Anolis sagrei: one gene and its partner. The protein of the gene in region 2 interacts with the protein of the main gene of each other region in a pairwise test. Links are inferred from orthologs where the notes say so. Each region holds a gene or a part of one and is shown on either strand. Other genes may lie near its edges.

Evidence for each region.
Region 1: the proteins of SH2B1 (region 2) and NTRK1 interact in a two-hybrid assay, tested with the Homo sapiens proteins (2 studies listed by BioGRID). The link is inferred for Anolis sagrei from reciprocal best matches to the Homo sapiens genes SH2B1 and NTRK1.

Annotation. Positions count from the first base shown.
Region 1 is NC_090032.1:10,581,343-10,594,003, forward strand, and holds the start of NTRK1 (high affinity nerve growth factor receptor), read right to left. Parts: upstream 5,627-12,661; 5' UTR 5,498-5,626; coding exon 5,298-5,497; intron 1-5,297. UniProt on the Homo sapiens protein: Receptor tyrosine kinase involved in the development and the maturation of the central and peripheral nervous systems through regulation of proliferation, differentiation and survival of sympathetic and nervous neurons.
Region 2 is NC_090026.1:22,729,441-22,742,475, reverse strand, and holds the start of SH2B1 (SH2B adapter protein 1), read right to left. Parts: upstream 5,521-13,035; 5' UTR 5,391-5,520; intron 2,600-5,390; 5' UTR 2,523-2,599; coding exon 1,671-2,522; intron 1,499-1,670; coding exon 1,397-1,498; intron 1-1,396. UniProt on the Homo sapiens protein: Adapter protein for several members of the tyrosine kinase receptor family.

The DNA of each region.
Region 1 (12,661 bases), on a different chromosome or scaffold from region 2:
AAGAAATCATGGTAACCATATCTAAGAAACTAGAGCTGGTGGGATCTGTTCAAGGCAATTTTCTGAATCAGTGGCAATCATAATAATAATAATAATAATAATAATAATAATAATATAGATCTCGTTTGCTGTGACATACTGTGCTTTTGTGTCAGTAAAATAATAATAATAATAATAATAATAATAATAATAATAATAATCACAATAATAAACACTGCTGGCTGTTGAATTGGATCACACGTCGGATCCTTCCCAAGTGTCTAGGACTGTGTGATGTATCGGCAAATAATGCGTGCAGATCCCAGTAAGGTGACCTTCTGCAGCTGGCAGATGGTAATTTTGTCAGCGCCGATTGTGTTTAAGTGCAGGCCAAGGTCTTTAGGCACTGCACCCAGTGTGCTGATCACCACTGGGACCACCTTGACTGGCTTGTGCCAGAGTCTTTGCAGTTCAATTTTTAAATCTTCATATCGTGTCAGCTTTACCAGTTATTTCTCTGCAATCCTGCTGTCATCTGGGATTGTGACATCGACAATCCATAATTATTATTGTTATTAATTTGTTATTAATTTTTAATTTCTATATGTATGTATTTCATCTTTTACAATTTAGCTGTAAATCGCCTAGAGCATTCTCGGATGGAGGGCAATTAATAAGTAATTATATATGATATTATTATTATTATTATTATTATTATTAGGACAATTCATTCCACAGTCAAATTATGTTGGTTCTGGCAAAGACAGCTCTTGGTGAAAGTTTGCAAATACCGTCCTTAGACACCAGCTTTGTATTCTTCTTCCTTTCAGACCAGTCTTGCTTCTCTGCCATTTTGTATAGCCCTTGCCCACCCTGCCTTCAACTTCTTGAGATGGGGCCACTTCACCCCTGATGCCAGGACCCCTAAAGGGCATCAGAGCTGGACTCGCTCTCCTCCCATTTGGGAACAGCCCCCCTTCGAGGGGTATTTTGTTAGGAAACCAGCAGCCTCCTATCAAGGAGCAAGCTGGCACAGAACTTGGTGTTTTTGCCACTCCCGTAATTGAGTGGGCACTTGGAGGGCAGCCTTGCGAAGCCACTCAGGGCTTCGAAGAGCCCCATTTGGTGTGCCAGTTGAACCAAGGCATTCTTTCACCTGCCTCGTTCACCAAGTCCACCACTTTCTCCTTTCCAGGAGAGCTGTTTGGACAAGTCAGAGGTTGAGCCATTGGGGCCCAGCTCTTGCCCCTTCAATGTATGCCTTTCTGGCTTCAGTTGTGCCAAAGGAAAAGGTGTGGTTTTAAGGGCAGAGAAAGGAACATCCCTCCCCACTCCCTGGCACTCAGGTGCCCTCCTGCTTTCTCCTGCCTCAACCAACTGGGCCACTGCGCTTAGTAGAGGTAGAATAGATAGATGAGACTATTTCATAATGACACGAACACTGGGCAGGATGGCACAGAAGAGGCAGCATGACTCAGGTGCCACTCCTGGCATCAGGAACCTCAGAGTACGGTGAAAGGGCGGAATAGGAGAAGGAAGAGAAAGAAGGAGGAAGAGAAGAGAAGGAGGAAGAGGAGAAGAGTAGAGAGAGAAGGAGGAAGGAAGAGAGAGAAGGAAGATGAGGAAGAGATTGGCATGGGAGTAGGAAGTGAGAGAAAGAGAAAGAGAAGGAGGAGGAAGAGTAGCATAGGAGCAGGAGGGAGACGGAGGAAGAGGGAAAGAGTGGCATAGGAGCAGGAAGAGAGCAAAAGAGGGAGATTAGATGGAGGAAGATGAGAAGGAGGAAGAAAGGAGTGGCATTGGAGCAGAAAGAAAAAGAAAAGGGTACGGAGGAGAAGGAGGAAGAGGAGAAGAGTAGCATAGGAGCAGGAAGAGAGCAAAAGAGGGAGATTAGATGGAGGAAGAAAGGAGTGGCATTGGAGCAGAAAGAAAAAGAAAAGGGTAAGGAGGAGAAGGAGGAGAAGGAGAAGAGTGGCATAGGAGCAGGAAGAAGGAGAAGTTGAGATAGGAGCAGGAAGAGGGAGGAAGAGGCAGAAAGAGCAGGAAATAGTGGTATAAGAACAGAAAGAAAGAAGGAGAAAGAGGCAAAAAGTGGTATAGGCGCATGAAGAGAGAAAGAGGATGAGGAGAAGGTTGGCATGGGAGCAGGAAGAGAGAGGAAGAGGAGAAGGAGCAGGAAGAGGGGTAAAGAGGAAGAAAAAGAGTGGCATAGGAATAGAAAGAAAAAAAGGAGAAAGAAGGGGAAGGATGAAGAGAAGAAGACTGGCATGGGAGCCGGAAGAGAGAGGAGGGAGAGGAGGAGGAAGAAAAGAAGAATAGCATAGGAGCAGAAAGAAAGGGAAGAAGGAAGAGGGGGAAAGGGGAGAAGGAGGAAGAAGAGGGGGAAAGAGTGGCATGGGGGCAGGAAGAGAAGGTGGAAGAGGGAAAAGGAGGAACATAGGTTGGCATGGGAGCAGGAAGAAGGAGCAGTAGGAAGAAGACGAGAGTGGCATAGGAGCAAGAAGAGAAAAAAGGAGGAAAAGGTGAAGGAGGATGAAAAGAAAATGGCATGGGAGCAGAAAGAGAGAAAAGGAAGAAGAAAAGAAAGTTGCATGGTAGCAAGAAGGGATAAAAGGAGGAAGAGAGAGAAGTTGGAAGAGGAGAAGACTGGCACAAGAGAAGGAAGGGAGAGGAGGAAGAGGAGAAGATTTGCATGGGAGCAGAAAGGAGGAAGAGGGAGAAGGAGGAAGAGGAGAAGACTGGCAGGAGAGAAGGAAAAGGAGAAAGAGAAGATTGGCATGGGAGCAGAAAGGGGTAGAAGGAGGAAGAGAGAGAAGGAGGAGGAAAAGAAAGTGGTGCAGGAGAGAGAAGAGGAAGGAGAAGGAGGAAGAGAAGAAGACTGGCACGAGAGAAGGAAGAGAGAGGAGAAGAGGAGAAGATTGGGATGGGAGCAGAGAGAGAGAAGGGGGAAGAGGAGAAGGCGGAGGAAAAAAGGAATGGCATGGAAGCAGAAAGGGATAGAAGGAGGGAGAGAGAGAAGGAGGAAGAGGAGAAGGCAGCGGAAAAGAAAATGACATAGGAACAGAAAGGGATAGAAGGAGGAAGAGGGAAAAGGAGGAAGAGAAGAACATTGGCAGCATTAGAACAAGAAGAGAGAGAAGGAGGAAGAGAAGAAGACTGGCACGAGTGAAGGGAGAGAGAGGAGAAAGAGGAGAAGATTGGCATGTGAAAAGAAAGTGGCATAGAAAGAGACAGAAGGAGGAAGAGGGAAGAGTCGGAAGAGGAGAAGATTGTCAGCATGAGAGCAGAAAGAGAGAGAGAAGGAGAAAGAGGAGAAGACTGGCATGAGAGAAGGAAAAGGAGAAAGAGAAGATTGGCATGGGAGCAGAAAGGGGTAGAAGGAGGAAGAGAGAGAAGGAGGAAGAGGGAAAAGGATGAAGAGGAAAAGATTGGCAGCATGAGAGCAAGAAGAGAGAGAAGAGGGAAGAGAGAGAAGGAGGAAGAGGAGAAGGAGGGCGAAAAGAAGCATGGCATGGGAGCAGAAAGGGGTAGAAGGAGGAAGAGGGAGGAGGAGGAAGAGGAGGAGGAAAAGAAAGTGGCATAGGAGCAGAAAGAGAGAGAAGAAGGAAGAGGGAAAAGGAGGAAGAGGAGATTGGCATCATGAGAGCAAGAAGAGAGAGAAGGAGGAAGCGAGAGGAGGAAGAGGAGAAGGAGGGCGAAAAGAAGCATGGCATGGGAACAGAAAGAGGGAGAAGGAGGAAGAGGGAAAAGGAGGAAGAGATTGGCAGCATGAGAGCAAGAAGAGAGAGAAGAAGAGAAGGGGGGGGGGGTAAAAAAAAGAATGTCATGGGACCAGAAAGGGATAGAAGGAGGAAAAGGGAAAAGGAGGAAGAGGAGAAGATTGGCAGCATGACAGCAAGAAAAGAGAGAAGGAGGAAGAGGAGAAGGCAGAGGAAAAAAGAATAGCATGGAAGCAGAAAGGGATAGAAGGAGGGGGGAGAGAAGGAGGAAGAGGAGAAGGCAAAGGAAAAGAAAGTGGCATAGGAGCAGAAAGAGAGAGAAGGAGGAAGAGGGGAAACTGGCATGAGAGAAGGAAAAGGAGAAAGAGAAGATTGGCATGGGAGCAGAAAGGGGTAGAGAGAAGGAGGAAAAGGCGGAGGAAAAAAAGAATGGCATGGAAGTAGAAAAGGATAGAAGGAGGGAGGGAGAGAAGGAGGAAGAGGAGAAGGCAGAGGAAAAGAAAGTGGCAAAGGAATAGAAAGAGAGAAAAGGAGGAAGAGGAGAAGACTGGCATGACAGAAAGAAAAGGCGAGAGAGAAGATTGGCATGAGAGCAGAAAGAGGCAGAGAGAAGGAGGAAGAGGAAAAGGAGGATGAAAAGAAAGTGGCATAGGAGCAGAAAGAGAGAGAAGGAGGAAGAGGAGAAGGAGGGCGAAAATAAGAATGGCATGGGAGCAGAAAGGGGTAGAAGAAGGAAGAGGGAGGAGGAGGAAGAGGAGGAGGAAAAGAAAGTGGCATAGGAGCAGAAAGAGAGAGAAGAAGGAAGAGGGAAAAGGAGAAGGAGGAGAAGGTTGGCATGGGAGCAGAAAGAGATAGGAGGAAGAGAGAGAAGGAGGAGGAGGAGGCAGAGGAAAAGAAAGTGGCATAGAAGCAGAAAGAGAGAGAAGGAGGAAGGGGAAAAGTCGGAAGAGGAGAAGATTGTGGCAGCCTGAGAGCCAGAAGAGAGAGAAGGAGGAAGAGGAAAAGGAGAAGACTAGCATGAGAGAAGGAAAAGGAGAAAGAGAAGATTGTCATGGGAGCAGAAAGGGGTAGAAGGAGGAAGGGAGAGGAGGGAGAGGAGGAGAAAAAATGGCATGGAAGCAGAAAGAGAGTGAAGGAGGAAGAGGGAAAAGGAGGAAGAGGAGAAGATTGGCAGCCTGAGAGCAAGAAGAGCAAGAAGGAGGGAGAGAGAGGAGGAGGAAGAGGAGAAGGAGGGCGAAAATAAGAATGGCATGGGAGCAGAAGGGGTAGAAGAAGGAAGAGGGAGGAGGAGGAAGAGGAGGAGGAAAAGAAAGTGGCATAGGAGCAGAAAGAGAGAGAAGGAGGAAGAGGGAAAAGGAGGAAGAGGAGAAGACTGGCAGCATGAGAGCAAGAAGAGAGAGAAGGATGAAGAGGAGAACATTGTCATGAGAGAAGGAAAAGGAGAAAGAGAAGATTGGCATGGGAGCAGAAAGAGAGAGAAGGAAGAAGAAGAGGAGGAGGAGAGTGGCCCAAGAGCAGAAAGGAGAAAGAAGAGGAGCCGGGCAGAAGGAGTCCCCCCCCCCGGGGGGGGGGGCATGCCCATCCCTGGGTGCTGCTCACATTTCGGTGAAGTTCTCCAGGCTACGGAGCTGGGCGAGGCTCCGGATGGTGTTGGGCTCCTGGCAGAGGAGGCTGTTGAGGTAGCAGCGGCATGGCTCCAGGCAGGGCGAGGGGGTGGCGGGGGGCGGCAGGGGCATCAGCCAGGCCAGCAGGCACAGGGCCAGCCCCGCCCGGCCCCAGGGCGCCCTCCTCGCCTCCATCCAGACCCCCAGTCTCAGTGGTCCATGGGGCACAGCCCTTCCCTCCCTTCAGCTCCCCAGAGCATCCCTGCCTCTCTCTCTCTCTCTGCCAAGCAGGGCACCTCTGCCTCCCGATGCCTGCCGCTGCATTTAAAGGGCAAAGGGGGAGGAGCCTCCCACACACACTGGCCACGCCCCCTCCCCACTCCCCAGGACCCTCTCTCTAGGGATGGACCCAGAGAGAGAGAGAGCAGGCTGCCATGGCCCCTCTCTAGGTAGAGCCAGGGCACTGGGACTGGCATCCCATTCTAATTATTATTATTATTATTATTATTACTATTACTATTATTAGAAACACAACAAGATGTGTCCAGAGCAGACACTCTGCTGGCTGTTTTATTGGATCACACGTCGGACACTTCCCAAGTGTCTAGGACTGTGTGATGTATCGGCAAACAATGCGTGCAGATCCCAGTAAGGTGGCCTTCTGCAGCTGGCAGATGGTAATTTTGTCAGTGCCGATTGTTTTTAAGTGCAGGCCAAGGTCTTTAGGCACTGCACCCAGTGTGCCGCTCACCACTGGGACCACCTTGACTGGCTTGTGCCAGAGTCTTTGCAGTCCAATCTTTAAATCCTCATATCGTGTCAGGTTTTCCAGTTGCTTCTCTGCAATTATTATTATTATTATTATTATTGTTATTATTATTTAATCCTTTTCTATGGCACACAGCAAACAGAGGAATTGATCAGCAACTGAACATACTAGAGAGGTTTAGGGAGAATTCACCACAAATTATAGGAATTGGAGGTACTGGGATGTATAGTTCACCTGCAATCAATGAACATTCAGAACTCCACCAATGATGGACCTGGAACTAGCTTGGCACACAGAACCCCCATGACTAACTCAACCTACTAGAGAAGTTCGAGGGGATTGAACTTGACCACGGTGGTCCACGCTCTGGTTACATTCTGTATAGACTACTGCAACGCTCTCTACGTGGGATTGCCTCTGAAGACTGCCTGGAAGCTTCAACTAGTCCAACGAGTGGCAGCCAGATTATTAACAGGAGCAGGGTACAGAGAGCATACTACTCCTCTGTTGCGGCGGCTGCCAATTAGCTTCCGAGCACAATTCAAAGTGCTGGTGTTGACCTATAAATCCCTAAACGACTCCGGCCCAGTTTACCTGTCCAAATGGATTCTCCCCTATGAACCATCAAGGTTGTTAAGATCTTCTGGAGGGTCCCTGTTCTCGGTCCCACCACCTTCGCAATCGCGTCTGGTGGGGATGAGGGACAGGGCCTTCTCGGTGGTGGCCCCTCGGCTCTGGAACTCTCTCCCATTAGAGATTAGATCTGCCTCTCCCCTCCTGACTTTCAGAAAGCTGCTAAAAACCTGGCTTTGGAATATAGCATTTGCAGAATGATGATCGAGTCAATAACGGCTGACCACACCGGCGGATGGGGATGAATTTGTGATTTTATTCTGACGACCTGGCTTTTGTAATAGTATGATATTGTATGATCTGTATTTTAATGTAATTTGTATTAATGTATTACGATGCTATTATGTTTACTATATTTGTGTTGAATTTTCTGCTGTTAGCCGGCCTGAGTCTCTCTTCGGAGGTCGAAGAGAGAGGAGATTCCATCTGAACACGAGGAAGAACTTCCTGACTGTGAGAGCCGTTCAGCAGTGGAACTCTCTGCCCCGGAGTGTGGTGGAGGCTCCTTCTTTGGAAGCTTTTAAACAGAGGCTGGATGGCCATCTGTCAGGGGTGATTTGAATGCAATGTTCATGCTTCTTGGCAGAATGGGGTTGGACTGGATGGCCCATGAGGTCTTTTCCAACTCTTTGATTCTATGATTCGAGAAGACCGGGTTATAAAAGCTCTAAATAAATAATAAATAAATAAATTGACTCACTCTAGTGCAGTGTTTCTCAACCTGGGGGTCAGGACCCCTGGAGGGGTTGCGAGGGGGTGTCAGAGGAGTCACCAAAGACCACCAGAAAACACAGTATTTTCTGTTGGTCATGGATGTTCTGTGTGGGAAGTTTGGCCCAATTCAATCCTTGGTAGGGTTCGAATGCTCTTTGATTGTAGGTGAACTATAAATCCCAGCAACTACAACTCCCAAATGTCAAGGTCTATTTCCCCCAAACTCTACTAGTGTTTACATTTGGGCATACTGAGAATTCGTGCCAAGTTTGGTCCAGATCCATCATTGTTTGAGTCTACAGTTCTCTCTGGATGTAGGTAAACTACAACTCCCAAAACTCAAGGTCACTGCCCACCAAACCCTTCCAGTATTTTCTGTTGATCATGGGAATTCTGTGTTTCCCAGTTCGATTCAGTTCTATCGTTGGTGGAATTCAGAATGCTCTTAGATTGTACGTGAACTATAAATCCCAGCAACTACAACTCCCACAGGACAAAATCAATACCCTCCCCCAATCTGTTACTATTCATAACAGCAGCAAAATGAGTTATGAAGTAGCAACGAAACTAATTTTATGGTTGGGGGTCACCATAACATGAGGAAGCATATTAAGGGGTCGTGGCATTAGGAAGGTTGAGAACCACTGCTCTAGTGCGAGTTGTAGTTTACTCTGCAGCCAGAGAGCACACTGGACCCCACCAATGATGCATCCAGAGCAAACTTGCCCAACATAACAATCTTTAAGTACTGATGGGGGGTTAACCTGGCCAGATGGGAGTTGTAGTTCACCCACAACGTTATGCATTTTGCACAATTAATAAATTGACTTTCTCAAATAACCCAGACACCACCAGGTACCCAAGGTAATAATTACAATACAATACAATAAACTACATAACGAAGGATAAACAATAACATAAACAATCAATATAAGACAATAGCAAACAGAATTAACATTAGATTTAAAGCTCCGTATGTAAACATGGCTATCACGTCCCCTCTTAGTCTTTTCTCTCTCTCCAAGCTAAACCTCCCCAGCTCTCTAATTGGTTCCTCAAAGAGTTTGGCTTCCAATGTTTTGATTATTTTGGACACAGTCCAGCTTGTCAATAGTCAGTGCCACTCTTCGCGTGCCCCAGAACACCTTTGGCTTTATCGCGGACTGAAGAAGTCAGGATGGGCTTGAGGACAGGCGGAGGTTGGCTTCCTCCAATTTGTCTCTTACCCTGTGGGCTGGCCACAGATTAGCAGGCCCATTGATTAACCACTCAGTGTTTAATTGATTAATCAATACACCAGCCATATTTACATGCATTTGCATACGGTAAACCAAACACATGAGCTCCCGGTGGTGCAGTGGGGTTAAACCGCTGCTGAACTTGCTGACCAAAAGATCGCACATTCAAATCCAAGGAGCGGGGTGAGCTCCCACTGTTAACCCCAGCTTCTGCAGTTCGAAAACATGCAAATGTGAGTAGATTAATAGATACCACTTCAGCGGGAAGTTAATGGTGCTCCATGTAGTCATGCTAGCCACATGACCTTGGAGGTGTCTATGGATAACGCTGGCTTAGAAATGGAGATGAGCACCAACCCCAGAGTTCAATATGACTGGACTTACCTTGACCTAACCACACATCTCCGAAACACCAAAGGATGCCTCCCATGCATATCCTATCAGGAAAAAATACCCACCATCCAATCATACCTTGTTCCATGAAGGTGTCCCTTATGCTCACCTGAATCCTGGCAAAGGAATTTACAAAAGCTAAAGTACTCGTATTTTTTTGTTACTAATTTATATTTATATTTCAAGAATGAAAATAAGAAAACTGTCCAAAAACTTTTCAGCCAAATGTGTGGGCAGGTAAATATAGCCTGTTTGATGATAGAACCTTTCAGCGGCCAGGCTTTGAAGCTGCAAGACTATTCAATGCTAGTCTTGTGTGTTTTATGGGTTCCATTTAAACATCCTGCTCCTATTTTATCTCATTATAGTCTGTTAATTGGGTTGTTGTAGGTTTTTTTCGGGCTATATGGCTATGGTCTAGAGGCATTTTCTCCTGACGTTTCGCCTGCATCTATGGCAAGCATCCTCAGAAGTAGTGAGGTTTGTTGGAACTAGGAAAAAGGGTTTATATATCTGTGGAATGACCAGGGTGGGACAAAGGACTCTTGTCTGCTAGAGCTAGGTGTGAATGCCTCTAGAACATGGCCATATAGCCCGGAAAAACCTACAACAACCCAGTGATTCCGGCCATGAAAGCCTTCGACAATACATAGTCTGTTAATTGTTTTTATTTGGAATATGTGGCCCGCCCATTGTCATCTCTATTGTGATTGTATCTATTGGAATTATTATTATTATTATTATTATTATTATTATTATTATTATTATGTCATTTTGATAATGTTGTTATTTGTTGTATATGCTTTGATTTTATTGCTGTATTATGTTGTCCGGACTTGGCCCCATGTAAGCAGCTCCGAGTCCCCATCGGGGAGATGGTGGCGGGGTATAAATAAAGTATTATTATTATTATTATTATTATTATTATAGTCTGTATTGTTTTTGCTTATTGCTTGTTGTTTCTATAGATGTGTTGTTGGGCTTGGCCTCATGTAAGCCGCTCCAAGTCCCCTTGGGGAGATGGTGGCAAGGTATAAATAAATTATTGTTGTTGTTGTTCAATGTATTGTCGAAGGCTTTCATGGCTGGAATCTCTCAGTTCTTGTGGGTTTTTTCGGGCTATATGGCCATGTTCTAGAAGCATTTCTAGAAGCAGGCGAAACGTCAGGAGAAATGCTTCTAGAACATGGCCATATAGCCCAAAAAAACCCACAAGAACTGAGAGATTGTTGTTGTTGTTATTATTATTATTATTATTATTATTAGTCAAGGTGGCCAATGGCAACATCCATATTTGCCTCCAACAGAGAATTCATTCTCCCACCCTGGACATCTTTCCACAGATCTATAAACCCCATAGAATCCTACAATCAAAGAGTTGGAAGAGACCTCCTGGGCCATCCAGTCCAACCCCATTCTGCCAAGAAGCAGGAATATTGCATTCAAATCACCCCTGACAGATGGCCAAAAAGTTTAAAAGCTTCCAAAGAAGGAGCCTTCACCAGACTCCAGGGCAGAGAGTTCCACTGCTGAACGGCTCTCACAGTCAGGAAGTTCTTCCTCGTGTTCAGATGGAATCTCTTCTCTTGTAGTTTGAAGCCGTTGTTCCGCGTCCTAGTCTCCATGGAAGCAGAAAACAAGCTTGCTCCCTCCTCCCTGTGCCTTCCTCTCACATTTTTATACATGGCTATCCTCTCAGCCTTCTCTTCTTCAGGCTAAACATGCCCAGCTCCTTAAGCCGCTCCTCATAGGGCTTGTTCTCCAGACCTTTGATCATTTTAGTCGCCCTCTTGCCTCATTTCCAAGAGACCTAACAACTTCTGAAAATGCCTGCCATAGATGAGGGTGAAACATCAGGAGAGAATGCTTCTGGAACATGGCCATACAGCCCGGAAAACTCACAGCAACCCTATGCCAGGTTGGCAACTGACTTTTTGGAGGTGGCTTTTGTGGAAAAGAGAAAGCTCTTTGCCAGGCAAAGCTAGACCCTTTGTGTAAGCCCTCTCCAACCGACCGATATCGGTGCCCCCGTTGATGGCCCGCCTGCTTCTCCTTCTGCTCCTCGTTGCCCCGATTTGCTAGGAAGAGTCCAGTGGGAGCCCCCGAAAGGCTAGTGAGAGTATTAGGGGTCTCCAGAGAGCTCTTGGCCTCCTCTAACAAGCATGGCCGTTGTTGATGGATGGTCCCTTTGGAAGTGGGCACAGATGGGCTCCTGCAGGGAGCGACAACACAGGCCGTACATCAGCAGATGTTGCAGAGGGGCGGGATATGCCTTCTTTTGGATATGCCATGCTCGAGGGCATGCAAAAAGAGACTCAGAATGGGGAGCAAAACAAATCTACTCACCTCTCACTCACTCTATAGAGCAGTGGTTCTCAACCTTCCTAATGCCGCGACCCCTTAATACAGATCCTCATGTTGTGGTGACCCCCAACCATCACATTATTTTCGTTGCTACTCCACAACTGTCCTTTTGCTACTGTTGTGACCTGTAATCTATATAAATAAAAACGTAATATTCGTTTGTGGGATTAACAGAACTCAAAAACCACTGGACGAATTGACGAAAAACTGGAAAGGTTTGGTGGACATTGACATTGAGTTTGGGAATTATAGTTCACCCACATCCAGAGAGCACTGTGGACTCAAACAACGATGGATCTGGACCAAACTTGGCACGAATATCCCATATGCCCAAATATGATGGAGTTTAAGGGAAATAGACCTTGACATTTGGGACACAAGACATCTAACAACCCAAATTGACACCTAACAACCCTAACAACCCATCCTCACTACCTCTGAGGATGCTTGCCATAGATGCAGGCGAAACGTCAGGAGAAATGCCTCTAGAACATGGCCCTATAGCCCGAAAAAACCCACAAGAACCTAGTGATTCCAGCCATGAAAGCCTTCGACAATACATTAAACCCAAATTGATTTTGCGATTTGGGAGTTGTACTTGCTGGGATTTATAGTTCACCTACAAAGAGCATTCTGAACCCCACCAATGATGGAATTGAACCAAACTTAGCACACAGGGCTCCCATGACCAACAGAAAAAACTGGAAAGGTTTGGTGGACATTGACATTGAGTTTGGGAATTATAGTTCACCCACATCCAGAGAGCACTGTGGACTCAAACAATGATGGATCTGGACCAAACTTGGCACGAATATTCCATATGCTCAAATATGAACACAGATGGAGTTTAAGGGAAATAGACCTTGACATTTGGGAGTTGTAGTTGCTGGGATTTATAGTTCACCTACAATCAAAGAGCATTCTGAACTCCACCAACGATGGAATTGAACCAAACTTGGCACACAGTTCTCCCATGACCTACAGAAAATACTGGAAGGATTTGGTGGGCAGTGTCCTTTGGTTTTGGAGTTGTAGTTCACCTAAATCCAGAGAGTACTGTGGACTCAAACAATGATCAATCTGGACCAAACTTGGCACAGATACTCAATATGCCCAAATATGAACACTGGTGGAGTTTGGGGAAAATAGAATCTTGATATTTGGGAGTTGTAGTTGCTGGGATTTATAGTTCACCTACAGAGCATTCTGAACCCCACCAACAACAGAATTGGGCCAAGTCTCCCACAC
Region 2 (13,035 bases):
TTCACACAGCCATATAATCCAGAATGTCAGGGCAGAAAATCCCACAATATTTGCCTTGAACTGGGTTATTTGAATCCACAATGCCATATATTCAAGTTCAAAGCAGGAAAAGTGGGATTTTATTCAGCTGTGTGGAAGGGGCCCTAAATGCACCAACTGGCTCTTCCACAGGGTAATTTCTCAGGCATGGTGAATGCTTTTTACTCTCCCAAACACCAACTCCTGTATCTGGGTAAGTGCAACTTTGCCACTGCTCTTGAGAAATTAAACCTAGCAAGTGCTGCGGTGCCAGCAATAACAAACAAATATGCATGAAACTCCTAAGACCCAGAAAATATTACTTTTATCTTCTGCAGATTAAAATGTGTGATAAATTAAAATAAATAACTTAGATATATTTTTGAGATCTTCACCAAGTTCATTTTAATGAGGGTTATTTTCCTGTGCCTTTGAGGCCCGTGTCTTATTAGGCCCAGAAGTCTTATTATTTTTAGAGCAGGAAAGGTGGCCTTTTAAAGGAATGCAACTATCACATTACAGCAGAACCTACTGAATCCTTACTTGGCTACAAGTTCACATAAAATGTGCAAAATGTTTTTTCACATTCAGCTTCCCTTAAGAAAAACACTGGCCTCCAATCATCCCAAAGGCACAGGAAAATCACCCTCATCAAAATGACCAAGATATTGTTGGAGCAGAAGAGATAGAATGGGATAAAAATAAAGTTATTATTAACTGGATCTTTCCTGAAGAAAAGCAAGAGGCAAGAAAACAATTACTAAAAGCACAGTCCAGCCATTGCCACTTGTACTGTCAGCTGGCGAAAAGAACTCTAGTTTTATCTCAGGAAAACAATTCCATGGACCACTTTGTTATGTATAAATTGGTGAAAGATTTGGTGTACAATTTCCACTGTTCCAATTATTACTGAATAGGTTTAAAACTTAAATTGACAACACAGTGCCCACTACCAGTATTGGATTACGAGACCCTGTAAATGTGGACACTGGTAGGAAATAAATTTATTGTAAAAAAAAAAAAACCATCTGAACAGCACCAGGATGCCTTCTGATGGCTTGGGATGCATGGGCTTTTGAAACTTGCTTGAAATATATTAGGCTCTTAATCAGACTGCAAAGCTTTAGCTTTAAATAAAATTGAAGGCAATTTATGGATTTTATCTGTTAATTTTTTAATACCATTGAGGCTTTATTCTGCTTAATGTTTGTATAATCCAATGTTGTTTGGATTTCAAATTGTATTGAAATGCTTTATGCAAGCCACTTTGAGTCTTCTTTGTGGAGAGAAAAAGTGGGGTATAAATAAAAAGAATAGTAATACAAATCTTAAGACATTACTGCTCTGCCTGTACCCAAACTCATCTTTTTTTTCCTACCTTGAGCACAAATGTGTTCTCCTTGTCTGGCATTTCCAGGGGAGTAGTTGTCCGCACATCTACTACACAGGAGCAGGCAATACTGACCCGTGGCTTTGATGCCTAGCAGTTGAAAAGATTGGGGGACAGAGAGAGAGAGAAATGTAATAACACCCCCAGTCTGAAACAAGGAATCCCTGGAATATCTTGGTTCCCGCAACCACCTCTTAATGGTTATACCCATTCTCTGCCCTCCCCTCTCCTACTCCATTGCATCTAGAGACCCACTGCTTACCTTTGGTGGGATGTAGAACTCCAACAGGTACCCCTCTCCCTCCCCTTTCCCTGCTTTGCGCAGGAGAAGACGGCATTTCTGCCAGCGTGTCCGACTACCCCCGCCTGACCCATCGTCAGCCACAATGTAGTTCAGTAAGCCCTCACGCCTCACACTGGCCAGTTCCACTCGAAGAGTGGCCGGGGTGGCTTTGTTGAGCCGCAGACGCTCAAATCGGTGAGTCCAGCGATCAGAGTCACCACCCCCTGAAGAGTTGGAATTACTGTTGGCTCCTGTCCCTGCCCCGTCTCCACCCCCAGGGGACGAGTCAGCTGACGTCTTCCACTGCAGGATGCCACGGACACTGCCACGGACACTGCGGCTCACATTGCGCAACGAAAAGCGCTTCTTCAGCTTTGGTTTGGTGGCGGTCACTGCTGTCACGGTAGAAACATCCTCAGAGCTGCGGGACTGGCTGCTGGAGAGTCCAGAAGGTGGCCCAAGGGGAGGCTCCACGGGTGAGGCCACTGACGAGTCACTGCAGGTCTCTGAGAGGTCACGGGCAGAGGAACAGCCAGTAAAGGGGGCGATGTCACAGCGAGGTGGCGAATCACTGGCATAAACCCGGCTCACTTCGGCCTCAAAATGCTCCAGGAAGTGCTCAGCAAAGCGACGTGAGAAGGCGGCTTCGGCTCCTGGAGTGGCAAACTGTGGGTTCTCAGCCAAGAAGGCCCGAAAACGACGAGCAAAATCCACAGCGGCAGCCCGAGCATGCACCTCACAGAATTCCCGCCAACCTGGTGAGGGGAGAGAGGCAGGTTCACCCAGCATCCCTCCCCCAACCGGGGACAGGGGAACTGCACTCCCATTCATGATTGCCCAGGTGGGGCCAGGTGCCAACACATCCAGCGCCAGAACTGGGCTCCTACTGGTACCAATGGCCTTGTGACCTGCAGAGGAAATAACAGAGAGACTGTGATGAAAGTACTTGAATGAAATGATCTGGTCAAGTACTTGCTGCTTCTGTCTGTGACAGAGAGAGATGATAAAACCCTATGAAAGGACCACACCATACAAACAGCCCCATGTTTGATAAGCTCTCACTCAGAGTCATAAATCTGTATTTAGTTACTAAAAGGTTTCATGGGAAAACCCAGCCTATCTAATACCACACAAAACTCTTAATAGTTAATCTGGCACTTGCTAAAATATAAGCCTATCTAATTGCTTATAGTAAACTGTCAGTCTTAAAATATAAGAGTAAACATCACACAGCATATTCACTAAAGCAGTGGTTCTCAACCTGTGGGTCCCCAGGTGTTTTGGCCTACAACTCCCAGAAATCCCAGCCAGTTTACCAGTTGTTAGGATTTCTGGGAGTTGAAGGCCAAAACATCTGGGGACCCACAGGTTGAGAACCACTGCACTAAAAGGTTGTATAGTGAGTTTTTCCATACTTTAATATGGATTGGAGACTTCAGTCTGTGAAGTACACAAACAGGAAGGGTGGTTGACAAAGGGTTGTGTTTGTACATGCATCCAAGTTGACTGTTGACCTATGGCAAGGGATTATCAGAAGTAATTTTGCCAGTTCCTCCTCCCAGAATAAAGCAAATAATAATAATAATAATAATCTTTATTTATACCCCGCCACCATCTCCCCGACTCGGGGCGGCTAACATGAGGCCAAGCCCATATAAAAATACAATACAACACAGTAAAATACAGAATACAAACCAAAAATGCATCAGGAAATAAATTACAATAACAAAATGAAATAATAAGACAATATAAAATCGAATAGGATGGGCAGGATCTTTCAACTTGTAAAATATTGCCCCTTCATATGGGAAGACACCATCTTAATACTCCCATCTCTTCCTTTTGAAAAGATTCAGCCACTTTAGTAATGTTTTATAGTATGCAAATTCTTCCACTTGGTCCTTCTTGGAACTGCATTTGAAATTACAAGCTGTTCAATTTGCCAGTTGAGTGCTTTCCTAAACAGAATCAAAAGTATTCAGATAGCGTACACTGATGACACTATCTTTTCTTGGGCAACTAGACTGGCTGTTTTTTGGTCTTTCCCGTTATCAGGTGAATCTTGTTGTATTCAATGGCCTCTCTAACTGTTTCTAGGGGAAAAGCTTTCAAGTGGAATTGGAAGAATAGACACTCTTTACAGAAGGCCAGCAGATGGGAACATGGCACAAACAGTGTGACAACACAGAGGCCCTGCCACACAGCTGAATAAAATCCCACATTATCTGCTTTGAACTGGAATATATGCTAATGTGGACTCTGATAAACAGATATTGTGGGAGTTTCTACCTTGATATTCTGGGTTATATGACTTTGTGGAAGGGCCCTGAGATCATCTCTTATCCAAATGTTTTCGAGAAGTATTTTGGATTTTTCCAGATTTTGGAATGTCTGTATTTACAAACATGACATATCTTGAAAATGGGACCCATTTCTACACATGAGAATTAGACCCCTTCTACACTGATTTACAAAATCCAGACTATCTGCTTTGAACTGGGGGCCCTTCCACACAGCCATATAACCCTGAATATCAAGGCAGATAATCCACAATATTTACTTTGAACTGGAGGCCCTTCCAGACAGGCCCTATATCCCAGGTATTTTACTTTAATTTGAATCATATGAGTCTGCACTGCCAGATAATCTGAGGGAAACAGAAAACTTAGGATCAGATCCTGGGATATAGAACCTGTCTGGAAGGGCCCTGAGTTATGAGTCTACATTGCTATATATTCTATTTCAAAGCAGATAATATGGGATTTTATTTAGCTGTGTGGAAGAGACCCAAATTATGTTTCTCTTACACAAAGCCCAGGCCCGTAGCCAGGATTTTGATTCGGGGGAGGGGGGGGCTGAGTCTGAGTGAAAGAGGGTCTACCCTAGCAAAAAAATTTGTATCATTACCCCAATACCCCCATGCATATGAAGATATATTGAACATGGTGATCAGATCATGATATGAATAAACATAACAGTTTAAATAATGTACCAGTAAGGCCTTTACGCGGACCACCCTGAGAATTGGGGGGGGGGGCTGGGGGGCTTCAGCTACATGCCTGACAAAGCGTGAAGGTAATTTTATACTCAATTCTATGCATGAAATAAAGCTTGTGAGCACTGAAACACCAGAAAGGAAATGTGTTGATATCTCTGCCCTCCATGTAGATATTTTTGGATTATTTCAGGTTTCCCAATAAGAGATAATTCCCTTCTGGTGTGTAAGAGCGACTTAAGGGCCCTTCCACATGGTAAATAATACGGAATATCAAGTCAGACAATCCACAATGGGTTATCTGAGTCCACACTACCATATAATCCAGTTCAATGTGGATTTTATACTGCTTTGTGGAAGAGGCCTGAGAAAGGCCAGGAGGAGAAGAGAGAGCACAAAGTTGGGGTCTGCCTTTCATGCGTCTCTCGGGTGACAAGAGGCTGGCTCTGCACTGCAGAATGAATGCAACGTGACACCGCTTCAACTGCCATGGCTCCATGCCATGGAATCACGAGAGATGTAGTTTCACAAGGCTTTGAACCTTCCCTGCCAAAGAGGGCTGGGGCCTCCCCAAAGGACAACTAGCATGGAGCCGTGGCAGTCAAAGCGGTGTCAAAACGCATCAATTCGACAGTGTGGATGGAGAAGAGAGGGGAAGACCAAGGACCCGGGCCTGGCTGGGTCTCGGCGCGCTCGGCACTCACCATCCCGGCCTGGGGTGCCTTCCAGGAGGGAGGAAGGGAGGAAGGAAGGCTTCGCCTGGCCGCCTCTCGCTCCCTCTCCCCCTGTCGCTCTCGCGCGAAACTTCCGCTTCCGGGTTTCCGCTGGTCACGCGACGTTGTTTTCTTCCTTTCACTTCCGTCCTCGTCATCCAGGCGACAACAAGGATACTCTCACGTATACTATAGAGAGGACGCGTCCTGGAGGCTAGAACGGCGGCCGTCAGCCATTGGCTCAGGCGGGCGCGGTGTTACCATGGCAACGGGCATGACGTAGGGTCCTTGGATGCTAAACGGGGAGGGGGCTTGGCTTCCTTGTTGCTAGGGAAACGGAGCCAATGCGGCACCCTTCTTCCACAAGGCCATGCTGATGATCTTGGGAGGAAATCCAGGTGTACAAACTCAGGCCCAGATTATCTGCTTTTAACTGGATTATATGTCAGTGTAGACTGAGGCTCCTTCCACAGCTGAATAAAACCCCACATTTTCTGCTTTGAAATGGAATATATGGCAGTGTGGCCTCAGATAACCCAGTTCAAAGCAGATATTATGGGATTTTCTGCCTTGATATTCTGGGTTACATGGCTGTGTGGAAGGGCTCCAGTCACTGGAACAGAACCCCCCCCCCCCCCCCAACCTAACTGGGGGCCCTTCCACACAGCCTTATATCCCAGAATATCCGGGCAGGAAATCCCACATTGTCTGAGTGTGGCCTCAGATAACCCAGTTCAAAGCTGATATTCTGGGATATAGGGCTGTGTAAGAAGGGCCACTTATTTTTTTATTTCCTATATTTATACCCCGCCCTTCTCCCCCCCCCCCCCCCCCCCCCAAAGGAGACTCAGTTATATGGATTTTATTCAGCTGTGTGGAAGGGACTCCGGGTCGAAGCAGATATTGTGGATTATATACCTTGATATTCTGGATTGTATGGCAGTGTAGAAGGGCCCAGAATATCTAGATTAGGACCCCTTATATAATAATAATAATAATAATAATAATAATAATAATAATAATAATCTTTATTTATATACCACTCCATCTCTCTGAGGGGATTCAGAGTGGTTCCCAAGTAATATCACAAAACATACAGAGTAAAAACAACATAACCATAAGATTAACAAACAAAATATAAACATAAAAATTGTCGCCATACATATATTAATATATTAAATGCACATATATTAAAAGTAATCCTGCCTGTTCAAGACAATTAAAAATGTAAAAGGGTCAAGATTTGTGCTAGCCCAAAAATTCTAGGGGGCCCGGGAATTAAGTGCAATGCTATGGCAGGCAACAATAACGCATAGCTGTATAAAATCCACATTGAACTGGAATATATGGCAGTGTAGACTTAGGGCCCTTCCACACAGCCCTATATCCCAGAATATCAAGGCAGAAAATCCCACAATATTTGCTTTGAACTGGGTTATCAGAGTCCACAGATAATATGGGATTTTCTGTCTTGATATTCTGGGATATAGGGCTGTTTGGAATGCTCTCAGATAACTCAGGGCCCTTCCAGACAGGCCCAATATCCCAGGATCTAATCCCAGGTTTTCTGTTTATCCCAGATTACCTGACAGTGCAGACTCATATAATTCAAATTAAAGCAGAAAACCTGGGATCACATCCTGGAATATAGGGCCTGTCTGGGAGGGCCCTAAGGCCTCTTCTACACTGCCTTATAATCCAGATTATCAAATCAGATCCAGGTTAGAGCTATGCAGTCGAATATTCTATGACCAGACCCCAGATTATGAGTCTATACTGCAAGATAATCTGGGATAAGAATATAATCTGAAATCAGACCCTGGGATGTAGGGCACTGTAAATCCAGCCCCAGTTTATCTTCTTTGAACTGGATTATCTGACGGCTCTTCCACACAGTCCTATATCCCAGAATATCAAGGTGGAAAATCCCACAATATCTGCTTTGAACTGGGTTATTTGAGTTCACACTCAGATAATGTGGGATTTTCTGCCTTGATATTCTGGGATACAGGGCTATGTGGAAGGGCCCTGATTCTACACTGCCATATAATCCACTTCAAAGAAGATAATCTGTAGAAGGGCCTAATTGTATGTACACTGTAGATTTAATGCAGTTTGACACCACTTTAGCTTCTGTGGTTCAATGCTGTGGAATCCTGGGAGCTGTAGTTGGTGAGACACCAGCACTCTTTGGCAGAGAAGGCTGAAGATCTTGGCCCCTTCCACACAGCCCTATATCCCATAGTATCAAGGCAGAAAATACCACAATATCTGTTCTGAACTGGGTTATCTGAGTCCATACTCAGATAATGTGGGATTTCCTGTCTTGATATTCTGGGATATAGGGCTGCGTGGAAGGGCCCAAAATCCCACATTTTCTGCTTTAACTGAAAATATGGCAGTGTAAACTAGATATCCCAGTTCAAAGCAGATATTGTGAGATTTTCTGCCTTGATATTTTGGGTTATATGCTATGTGAAAGCGCAAAAGCCGGGTTGCAGCTAAACATAAAAAAAAAAACCAAGATTATGGCAACAAGAATGATTGACAACTGGAAAATAGAGGGAGAAAATGTGGAGGCCATGACAGATTTTGTATTTCTAGGTGCAAAGATTACTGCAGATGCAGACTGTGGCCAGGAAATCAGAAGACACTTACTTCTTGGGAGAAGAGCAATGTCCAATCTCGATAAAATAGTAAAGAGTAGAGACATCACACTGGCAACAAAGATCCGTATAGTCAAAGCCATGGTATTCCCTGTAGTAACCTACAGATGTGAGAGCTGGACCTTAGGGAAGGCTGAGCGAAGGAAGAGGTGCTTTTGAGCTGTGGTGTTGGAGGAAAGTTCTGAGAGTGCCTTGGACTGCGAGAAGATCCAACCAGTCCATACTCCAGGAAATAAAGCCCGACTGCTCATTGGAGGGAAGGATACTAGAGACAAAGTTGAAGGAGACAGGAAAGCCTAGAGAAGACAATTATGCTGGGGAAAGTGGAAGGTAAAAGGAAGAGGGGCCGACCAAGGGCAAGATGGATGGATGGCATCCTTGAAGTGACTGGACTGACCTTGAAGGAGCTGGGGATGGTGACGGCCGACAGGGAGCTCTGGCGTGGGCTGGTCCATGAGGTCACGAAGAGTCGGAGACAACTGAACGAATGAACAACAACAACATGCTATGTGGAAGAGCCCCGTATAAAATGACAAATCCCAGGATTTCCTAGCAGTGGGCCATGACAGTTCATGTGCTGTTAGACCACATTAATTCGACAGTGTGAATGCCCTCCAGAGAAGCAACAGCCCTGCCCAGTACTTTTAACAGTCTCTCATTTGTAGATTTGCCATAGCTTGGGCTTCCTCGCAATTAAAAACATCAATCCACCTAGCAATAAAGAGAGAACTGCAGTCGATTTAGCCAGAGCCTTCATTCCATACAATTGTGAGTGGCTGTAATGATCCTAAAAGAGAGAGAAAGACTTTTTCAGTGAAGCCAGATGCACAGCCCAGAAGGGTTCATGCACTTTTGACCATGATCAAGGTACTATATGTTCACTGACTCTCATAGAACCACCTGACATTGGTACATTCAAGAATGCAGGAGCATTCAGTAGTCTGCATCTAATTGTCAGTGAGGTGGGAGCTTTGCCTCAACACTGGCATTCCAGTCTGGAGGAAAATACACTTTTAAAAAGGTCAGTTCAGTCTCCTGAAGGGCTCCAGGAGCATTGGGCTTACCAGAAATACCTCCTAACATCAGTCTTCCTTATAGCATTGCTAGGACTATGAAGATTTCCCAATTTAGAGATTAAGATAGAGCAGTGTGTGTTTCCCTTTCAAACAATTAATAAAATGTTCGCTTTCTCAGACTGACATCTCATGAACCTTACACATAGCTGTATAAAATCCACATTGAACTAGATTATATGGCAGTGTGGACTCAAATAACCCCGTTCAAAGCAGATATTGTGGATTATCTGCCTTGATATTCTGGGTTATATGACTCTGTGGAAGGGCCCTCAACTTGTTAGAGTTTGATAGTGGATTTTTATGACTGGAATTTCCAAGGCAATATGCATATTAAGTATTCTAAGGATAGAAATATTAGCCATGCATTCTTGGGGAGAAAAAAATATTTTGCAAAGTCTTCATCTTTTTGCAAAGATTCCACCACAGAACCTCCTAAGAAGAGAGTGACAGAAGACCAGAGAACTAGAAATGCCCGTATCCCATCCTAACATCTCACCTGAATTCTGCAGAGAGCTGTATACTAGGTGTGTTATGAACAGGAATACTTCATTCTAAGGCGCCTTCTCATTGCCATATAATCTAGATTAGCAAATCAGACAACCCAGGGCCCCTCCAAACAGCCATATAACCCAGAATATCAAGGCAGATAATCCACAATATCTGCTTTGAACAGGATTATCTGAGTACACACTACCATATAATCCAGTTCTATGTGGATTTAATACCACTTTGTGGAAGGGCCCACAGATTATCTGCTTTGAACTGGATTATATGAGTCTACATTGTCATACAATCCAGTTCGAAACAGATAATCTGTATTTTATTTCACAGTGTAGAAAGGGCCTACGCTTTATCCAGAGTTTAATTCCCCAGTGAGGTATGAAATTTAGGCTGCTTCTACACTGCTGTATAATACAGATTATCAAAACAGAAAATTAAGATTATCTGCTTGAAACTGGATAATGAGTCTACAGATGGATACCAAGGACCTAGAACCAGAGACTAGGGCTCCTTCCACACTGCTATATAAAATCCAGATTATCTAATTTTAACTGGATTACATGGCACTGTAGTTTCACATAATCCAGTTCAAAGCAGATGTGGATTATCTACTTTGATAATCTGGAGTATATGGCAGTATAGACGGGGCCTAGGGAAACATTTTTTTTTGTTTTGGAATCTCTCGTGGTTGCTGAAATATTCTGGGAGCTGCACTCAAAAAAACAATTTGATATTTCTATACTCTGTCGTGAGCAATTTCTCTCTTGCAGAATACAATAAAAACATTTAAGGAGATACCAAAGTCCATCCATTCAGCTTTTATGTATGGAATGACAGAGGGGCTGCCGTTTCTTTCCTTATTTCATGCAGCAGAATTTTGAGCCAACCTTGCTGCCTGTGCAGAGAGAGACAGAAGTGTGGCCGGAAAGTACTACAATGTAAGAAATTAGCATGTGTTCCACCATTATGCAGTATTAAAGGTGAACAAAAGGATAAACATTTTCTGGGTGTGTGACCTACTTCCAACTTGTAATGAACTGCCAGAGCTAGAGTATGCAAATTGCTAACAGGGATAATTCACTTCCTTCCTGTGAACTGTCAATTTCTATTCAGCGGAAATCTGCATATGATTACAAGGCTTCACATAAGAGTTTCCTTTGATTATTCGTGGCAGCTTTCATTTCTATTACTGTTATTGATATCCCGCTTTTCTCAAAAAAGCGTAAAGAGGTTCACAGTTTTAAAGAACCATACAACTAAAACACATATAAAGTTAATATTTAAATAGAATTAAGCTACCCATACCATTAAAACAATGTACATCTCAAATTAAATTATTAAAGTGCAGTTTTTTAAAAAAAAAACTTCTATATTTTTTAATTAATGCAGTTTGACACTGATTTAACGGTTGTGGCTCAATACTACAAAATTATGGTGATGCAGCGACAACCTTAAGAGTTTTTGTTTAACAAGATCTTTAGCTTTCCCTGCCCAAAATGCTGGTGCTTTGCCAGCCTACAACCCCCATATCCATATCACTGCACCACCCCACTCAACACTCAGTGTTGTGGGTTCTGGGTGGGTTTTGTCCTCATTTGACTGTTTTGTGGTGCATGCTTTCCTGCAGCCCTGAAGTTTTCCCAAGCCAGCTGATATTCCTTTATTTGAGCTTCACAGAAATCTGTACTCGGAGATCAAATTGTCAGAATGGGGTCAGACGTCAGAGACAATATACATTTGCTTATAATAGGTCAACTGAGAATCTCCATAGGAGACATTTTTCTGTTTAAAGGACTGTCACAGAACTGCCTTCTGCTTGAAGTGCTGTCCACTCCAGTTTCGAAACAAAGATCCATGGGAAGAAGTAGAGACCTTCATGTTTCCCATCATCACATGGACAGCAGATTTCATAGACTTGCAGATCTTCCACTCAGATTCTTCCTCACCCTGGTGTAATGTACCAATATATATATATTAGACTTTATTTCTAAATGTATTTCTACACATAAACATTAATATATGAAAATATTGGGCAAACCAATGTTTTCTTTCATCCTGTTTTTTGACAAGGTGTAGGTAACCATTTTAATTTCCAAATAAACTATGTTTATTTAGAAATTAGTTGTGAAGGAAAAAGAGGAGGAGAGGAGGAGGAAGGGGAAGACAGAGCTGATTCTTAGCTTTGCTTTTCTACTTTCTTTCTATTGCTTTTTTTTCCACAGATATTTCTCTTGGCAGTAGGTACTGAAAGCCTCCAGAAGATTTTAAAGACCCAACCGAGAGAGGGAGATGAGCATTAGATCATCTGCATACATCAGGATGAAAATCTTTGTTGCCGATTACTTCTTTCGATTACTGTACTACATAAGCTGAAGCATGGCATATAGGATGCATATTTCAGACGGTACCACCTGACCAATTTGTTTGGTTGCATGCTCTAAGTCACTTGAGAAACAGAAGAATGGCCTGCCTCAGGGAAGCATGCTTGCTCCATCAGAGTTTAACATTTACACAAATGATCAGCCACTGGACAGAGTGTTTCATCTATTCTGATGATCGTGCCATCACCGCCCAAACAGGGAGCTTTGGAATGGTTGAACAGAAGCTCTCTGAAGTTTTATTTGCTCTTACTGCCTATTACAGGGAAAACCAGCTGATTCCTTACCCATCTAAACTGCAGGTTTGTGCTTTTCACCTTAAGAATAAACATCTCGAGTTCTGATGATTATCTGAGAAGAAATCCTACCTGGGAGTTATCCTGGACCATGCTCTGACTTACAAGAAGCACTGCTTGACTATCAAGCAAAAAGTGGGTGTTATACATAATATCATACAAAAGCTGACTGGCTCAACCCGGGGATCACAACCAGACACAGGACATCTTGCACTTTGCTACTCTGCTGCTGAATACGCATGCCTAGTGTAGAACACATCTCACCATGTTGAAACAGTGGATGTGGCTCTTAATGAAACATGCCACATTATCTCAGGAGGTCTACGGCCCACACCACTGGAGAAATTATACTGTTCAGCCGGTATTGCGCCACCTGACATCCACTGGGTAGCAGCAGCAAATAAGGACCAAGGCAGTGATATTTCCGGCCCATCTCCTGTTTGGGTTATTAGCCAGCACATCAGATTTAAATCAAGAAATAGGTTTGTATGTTCTACAGAGATACTTGTAGGAACACTTCAGCAAGCCGGAGTCCAAAAGTGGCAGGCTAAAACCCAGAACCCCCATCCATGGCTGATACCGAATGACGGACTCCCTCCTGGACACACAGAAGGCTGGGTGACTTGGCTGCACGCTGACACCACAAGATGCTGAGCCAACCTTAAGAAATGGGGTTACAAGGTGGAGTCCACAGCATGTGAGTGTGGAGAAGAGCAAAC